Drosophila melanogaster: one gene and its partner. The protein of the gene in region 1 interacts with the protein of each later gene in a pairwise test. Each region holds a gene or a part of one and is shown on either strand. Other genes may lie near its edges.

What was found.
Region 2: the proteins of CG16719 (region 1) and CG9106 interact in a two-hybrid assay, tested with the Drosophila melanogaster proteins (2 studies listed by BioGRID).

What each region holds. Positions count from the first base shown.
Region 1 is NT_037436.4:9,683,170-9,686,851, reverse strand, and holds CG16719 (uncharacterized protein), read right to left. Parts: upstream 1,682-3,682; 5' UTR 1,598-1,681; coding exon 782-1,597; 3' UTR 602-781; downstream 1-601. Other genes in the region: Prps (phosphoribosyl pyrophosphate synthetase), read left to right, coding at 389-487, 1,807-1,931, 1,997-2,330, 2,394-2,486; alphaTub67C (alpha-Tubulin at 67C), read right to left, coding at 3,564-3,682.
Region 2 is NC_004354.4:15,270,710-15,274,639, forward strand, and holds CG9106 (uncharacterized protein), read right to left. Parts: upstream 1,697-3,930; 5' UTR 1,278-1,696; intron 1,206-1,277; 5' UTR 1,122-1,205; coding exon 690-1,121; 3' UTR 327-689; downstream 1-326.

The DNA of each region.
Region 1 (3,682 bases):
TGCATCTGTATCTCTAAATCGAAATCTATCATCTGGGTATATATATGTATATATCATCTATATCGATTGGATCTGAAAATCATTATTTCCCAGGTTCTGCTGCACCGAATCACATTTGTGTCCTTTGTGTTGTCGCAACTGAATTCTCTATTCTGTCCATGAATTATGTATCTTCTTCATATGCAATCTATTGGAACGTTAACCTCTCTTTGTTGATTTCTGTCTCTATACATATGTGTTGTTCGGTCCATGTTCGGTTTTGATTTCCATGATTTACTACTACTACTACCTCCTCATAAATGCCTAGCCTTAAGATATAAACTTGACTACTAGTTGCGCTAATGGAAACCTCTCCTTTGCATCTCTTTCTACGCTGGCCAATGCACAGAGTCGTGCGCCCATCTCGGCCAAATTGGTGGCCAACATGCTGTCCGTTGCTGGAGCGGATCACATCATCACCATGGATCTGCACGCCTCACAGATTCAGGTAAGTCAGCCCATCAACAACATTTGTATATTTATCTTTGATATTAGAGTGATTTCTTATCGTGCCGCGATTTGTATATCAGTCAATTAATTACGATAAAGAAAGTGTGATTTTCCTTTTGAACGACGTAACAATTTTTGTTTATTAAAGTGAGGCCAAAGAAATACTTATTTAAGGGTTTAAAATAAATTACAAAATATACAGTACAAATATATCCAATAACATCAGGTTTGAATCAAAAGAGGAGCTATAATCTCGCCGGATCCTCGGAGAACCGACAAATCCATCCGTTGGCTAAAAGGTGCCGAATTCATAGCAGGGTTCGGCGGCGTTGTCAGACCGGGATTGAAGCTCTGTGTCGTCATCGGTCCCGTTGAGGGTGTGTGGCATGGATAGAATGCTCACGGATAGTTTGGCCATTTGATGGAGTAGCACATCAATACGTTCATTCTTGAGGGCAATTGTGTTCTCCAGGTGATTGGCCCTCTCGGCAATGGAATTGATGTAGCGTGACTTCTCGGCACTCTCCCTAATAGCATTGGCATAGTGTTCGTACTCGACCACTTTCTTGGATACCTTCTTCATCTGTCCATTGACCACAACATTCACGTCCATGGTCAGCACCTGGGGTTGACTATCGATCGAGCAGGAGCGCTCAATCACTTGGGTGAGGGATCGGTTGAGAGTGCGTACCACAGAATTCTTGTTAGCCAACTTTTTAATCACCACGCTCTTTTGGGAGCTCGTTGGCGATACACTCAGACGGGGTCTTGGTCTGGGACTAGCGCACTTGGTCACCGCGATTAGTTCATGGAACAGTGATTCTATGGCTCCTGGCGCTGCTGACGCCAGCTGCTCCAGCTCCGAACGTGTCAAATTGATGCCCAATTTCTTCAGTACCTTCTGATTGAAGGTCTGCCAGCTCTGGAGTTTCAGGGCCACGCTGCTCTTGGGCGTATAGTTGTGCAGATCCACCAGACGAGGATGACTGCGCTTGACAATCTTTGCCACCGGCAAGACATCGGAGAATGAACGACGAGCTTTCAGATCCAGGATAATGCGCTGCTCCTTTAGCCACTGGTTCAGGTCATTCTGCTGTTCGTTCTCCATACTTAGCAAGGGGTGATTTGGGGTTTTCGGATTTTACCTGCTTTTTAATTTCTGTTGTAAATTTATTTTGGCAAGTCTAGCTTCCATATATGTTTCAGACAATAATGCTTGATAGACATACTCTCTGCCAATGACTGGCAGCTGTGTCAACTGGCAATGACTACTGGATGGCTAAATTAAAACTCATTCGATAAATTCTCCATTCGCAGGGCTTCTTTGATATACCAGTTGATAATCTCTATGCCGAGCCGGCGGTACTCAAGTGGATCAAGGAGAACATTCCCGAGTGGAAGAACTCGATCATTGTGTCGCCCGATGCTGGCGGTGCCAAGCGGTTAGTTGCAGTCTTTAATCCATATGCGTAATAGATTAATAATGCTATTAATATTTCACTTTAAGTGTCACCTCAATTGCCGATCGACTGAACGTGGAGTTCGCTCTGATACACAAGGAGCGCAAGAAGGCCAACGAAGTGGCCTCTATGGTACTGGTGGGTGATGTCAAGGACAAGATTGCCATTCTGGTCGATGACATGGCCGACACATGCGGCACCATTGTGCATGCCGCCGATCGCCTGGTGGAGGCGGGAGCCACCAAGGTGTATGCTATTCTGACGCATGGCATTTTCTCGGGTCCGGCGATCTCGCGGATCAATAATGCCTGTTTCGAGGCGGTAGTGGTGACCAATACCATACCGCAGGATGGACACATGCGGGACTGTCCCAAAATCCAGGTGGGTTATATCATATATATGCTTCTTTAGATGTGAATATAATTTTTATTTTTTTTTTCTCAGTGCATTGATGTCTCGATGATGTTCGCCGAGGCCGTCAGAAGGACACACAACGGCGAGAGTGTCTCGTATCTCTTCTCAAATGTTCCATACTAAACAACAAACAATCGGCAGAAAAACCAGCAAACGTTTGATAAAACAGCAACCAGAACACCGTTAGCAAGCCACAGCAAAATGAAAAGAGAAAAAAACCCACTTTAATAGCAATTTGTAATGCAATTTTCAACACAAACACAACAATTCGAAACCACATATTTTGCCATCATCATCGTTATATATTTTTTATGGATTAACTATTGTAATTAAAGTAAATGCAAACTCAGTAGATGGGAAATCGTCATTGTGTAATTATACTAAATAGGAGCATAAAAAATAACACTAAATACCGCAAAAAACAATACAAAAGTACACAAATGCAATGCCTTTCCTTTTGTATAGTAAGTTCTTTGTTTAAACAAACTTTTTGCCGTTTTCTGATTTTACAAGTTAACACGAACGATAAATTCCCAGTTGATTGGTGTAAACATTGGCCTGCTCTTAGAGAGAAATTTAGATTTGTAGATTAACACCGTAGAAGATATACACTCAAAACACACACACTCACACAAACACACCCACATGTACACCCACACACACAACAACAAAAAATTGTAATTTTACACTGTGCAACAACTTTTTGATGATTCTTTATTGTAAGCTCATAAAGAAAAAAAAAACGCAAAATACTTGCAAGTTCAAAACAAAATCTAGTAAAATTAAGTAAAACAAAAAAATACAATTGAAAAGAACATAGCAAATAGGCGTTAAAAAATAATAAACAACCAAACAAACAACAAAAATAAAACTAAAGAAAAAAATACAAAAAAAAATATTACAGAAAACTAATGCAAGAATGTGTTTTTACTGGATTTGTGGAAGGATTAGATATTGTCCTATAAAAAGGGAATATTTTCTTTTTCGTACTCGAATATAATTGTTATAGGATCTTTAGTTTACTTTTACTTTAAATGCTTAAACCAACTTTAATTAACTGAAATCCTGGTCTTATAAACCATATCCTCATCCCTTGTCCAAAGAAACTCATAATGATTCAAACTCTTGGTTAATTTATTTACACATAATTATTGGATATTGTAATGACTGAAGTCTGGCTGGGATTGTTGGGATGTGGGCTTAGAACTCATCGAAGTCCTCGTCGCCGCCCTCCTCGGCATTGTCCAGACCGACCTCCTCGAAGTCCCGTTCCAGTACGGCGATATTCTCGCGCGCCTCCGTGAACTCGCCCTCCTCCA
Region 2 (3,930 bases), on another chromosome or scaffold:
CACACTCGCAGAAGAGGGAAAAATAATGGTAAAGAAAAGTCGAGACGCACTTCAAAAGGGGGCGGCTGTCGGTGTGGGCGTGGTGACCGTTGACGTTGGCTTTTGGCTAATTTGCAATTGAAATGCCCAAATTCTGTGGGCTGGCCGCATTACGCATACGCCGTGTGGTGTCTGCGTGGCAAAGGCTCCTTAAACTTCCGCTCAGTCCATTCATCTTCCACCCCCGCATTCCGAGTCGACTGACAAATGCCACAGGGGCACGTGAAGCGGCCAGTGACCAAGGTAAATGGCACCCATACTGTCCATAGAGATTTCTTTATAAATTTCCTTTATTTTATTATTATTTTTTTTTATTTTTTGCAATTAATTACGGAATAACCTTGCAGATTCGTATACTATTTCTAGTAATTGCTGCCTTCGGAAAAATCACTTAACGCCAGGAACTTAAAATTTAGAGCAGGGAATGTAGCAAGAAAAAACAATCGACGTTATATTGCCAATGCCACGTATTTGGCGAATACTGAATTCCTAGATTTTGCCAACAGTGCCAAAGTTCAAATGACAGTTGCCATGGTCCAGCTTATAAACCGTACAAGCCAAACGGAGCTAATCAAGAATCCATCAAAACCATCGTCCATGTGCGGTACACTGCAATCGCTTCAACGAAGAATCTGGTTTATGCATCACCATCAGTCGAACAGAACGTCCATCGGTATGCCATAAATCTCGGCCAGCTGCAGTTTGGTGTAGGCAACAACGCCGCTGGGACAGTAGGCCATCGCCTCCTCCAGAGTGACCCACTTGGAGCTTGACTCACCGGCACATACCACATGCAGATAGACGATACCATCGAACATCTCATGGCTGATGATGCCCATCAGGTTGCTGGGGGTGCCGCTACTGACGTTTCCGGCGGTGTTGCCACTACCGTTACCATCACCGTTACCGTTACCGTTTCCGCTTCCGCTTCCGTTTCCGCCAATGATGTTGCCGCTCTGGCTCCCAGCGCTGCTCATTCCATCGCCGTTGCCACCGTCGCTGCCGCCACCGCTGCCGCCACCCACGCTGCTACCGCTGGCATTGGCGTTCGAAGAGGTGGACGGATTCAGATTGATGACCATCCTGGAAGGGCAGCGGTTCGGGATATCTATGAGGCAAATATCGAATGCAGCCAATTAACTGAGTGTATTTATAATTATTTGGATCTAGTAAGCCGAAAAGTATTTCTTATATATATTTAACAACAATACTTATATTATAAGTGATAATTAACTCACCTGAATATAAAACTATCAAAAGTGGAAAAGAAATCGGATTGGAAGCAGTTATCAAAGTGGCTCAATACTGAAGCTTCGTTGCTGGTTGCTACCTTTGGCCTTCTGGACGGGATGGTCCGTGGTTGGATTCTCGGTTAGTCCTTCGGAAACCGTAAACTTTGAACTTTGAACCTACGAATTTTGTACTTTGCTCGGTGCGATCCAATGAGACTCTGGTGCAGTGATGTGCTGCTTAGGGATCTGTTATACACTTCTCGACGTTCAAGTCGCACGCGATTCTAGTGCAACTCTCTAATTAGCTAGATACAATACCAAGTTATGATTTTTGTTTCGCTGTTTGATTCTTTTTTTTTTCGATTTTCCTCTATTTTTTTTCACTTTTGTTTAAACGGTGTGTGTGTATTTTGTGTCGATTGTGTGTGTTGACTACCTAGATGATTTTAACTTATGAAATGAGCCATGACATTAATCTGGCATTCTTTTCAAAGCCAGCTGGTACATTTTGTTTCGACGATGAAATGAGAGACACAAATATCGCGAATATTCAAGATTTTGGTAAATTAATAATTCTTATGGCTATTTCATTAATTCATGACACTGCACATTCTAAGTTAGACTTTAAAGTAAGTGCAGTAAGTGTACTATTTAAGTGCAAAAAGGCAAACAAAGTTTTCAAGGATTTTTTTTTTTAGTGTTTTCCTCAGAAAATCCCCATACCATTCACAATTTTTTGACATCGCCCGGCAACACGGGTGTTTATGAATGTGCCATATAATGTTTTGCTTCTGCCAGCAGCACCAAATGAACTGAACAAATAAAACTTTCACGGCAAAGTTGTTGACACGGCAGCCTCCTCCTCTTCCGATTTGCAGCTGCAATTCCTCACCTTCATGTTCACGCTTAGCTCTTTATTTACGATTGCAGGTGCAATGCGGGAAAAGTGCAGGAAAAGTATGGGAAAAGTGTGGGAAAAGTGTGGGAAAAGTGCGGGTGTGGGCGAGAGGAAAAGCAAAGTAAAAGCACCAGAGCTGAGTTTAAGTCGCGGGAGCAGGGGTCCCAAAGCAATTAAATCGCATTCGCCGTGTGGAAAGCAAATAGGATTCCGGGTGGGGCTTTGAATGTGGAGTCCGGACAGAGACAAACAATCAAACGGAAATTAATTGCGGTATGTGTGAAAAGTGAAAGCCAAAAGCTGTTCGGTAAATGATTGTCGAGCAGCGAGTTTTACCCCGGTTTCCCCACGACGACTTTAATTCTTAAACCCTGATTGATAGCTAACCTCGTCCTGGAGCAATGACTTCTGCTCTCCAGCTCTTCAGAATCGAAATGAAACCAAGATAGTATGCTGACATCCGAAAAGAAGTAAATTTTTACCACTGCATAGCCACACAAAGCGAAAACTTTTACACAGCAACCATGTAATAAAATAAGTCTTCAGAATTCGATGGGTAATCTTTTCAGCTGCTTTTTGGTCATTCAATATATGCTTTTCGTATTTAGAGGCATTTTGCTTACTCATTGAACTTATGTATGTGAAACACAGCAATTTTCCACACTTGTGTCATGGCATTGCCAAAAAGCGATAAGGGCGAAGGGTCGAAGTTTAATTAATACACCATTACGTGCTGTTTTTGGCCAACAATGGGTGGGTAAGCTTACCATTCGTTTTGAGATGCGTTGCAGCCCAATTTTGTCAACGTGGCCATAGCTGTATCCACATCCGGATCCGGTTCACAATGAGACGACGACTCATTGGACCGGCAGTGAGTTATATCAAAGACACTAGAATAACAAGATGCGTAACGGCCATACATTGGTTTGGCACTATGCAGCCACTTTTTTGGTGACGGCCAAAATTACTCTCTTTCCGCTCACTCCCGCTGAGAGCGTAAGAAACCTAAAAATATAATTTGCTTGCTTGTGTGAGTAAAAACAAGAGACGAGAACGCGTATAAGTGTGCGTGTTGTGCTAGAAGACGATTTTCGGGCCGAAATCAATTCTGATCGAAGAAACGAATTTACATGGTACATATTAGGGTAGTTTTTGCCAATTTCCTAGCAATATGATAAAATAAAAAAATTTTTTAAAATTCGCGCCCTGACTATTATAATTTTAAAGCTTTTTAAATTTGTTTGTTAAAATTGCCGCTCGAATTAGCTACCGTTTACACATTTATATTTATGTTTAATTCTAATTTTTCTCTCATCTGACAATTTTTTAAAAGCTAAATATTTTTTTTGAAACACTTTTAATGTTAATGTTACATCATATTAAGTCAAATGATTTAATAAATATACTAAATAATTAAATATGCAATTAAATGAAATTGCAAAAGTAATATCAAAGACAATAGAATTATTCTAGTGTCTTTGCTTTGTTCATATCTTGAGGCACGAAGTGCGGACACAAGCACTCAACAATCATTACCTTATTAATTTTTCACACGCCGCAAGATGAATACTCTAATGACAAATATTCTTATATAAAGTCATTTTTGAAATTTATTTTTGTGATAATATGTACATAGATTTGAGTATTTCTAATCTATTTTCAAATAATAATAACGTTAAGGCAATGCAAAACAAGAATTTTTCGCATGGTGCCAATTGATCAAAAATAATATAGATTTAAAGCCAAAGAACTTCTAAGGTG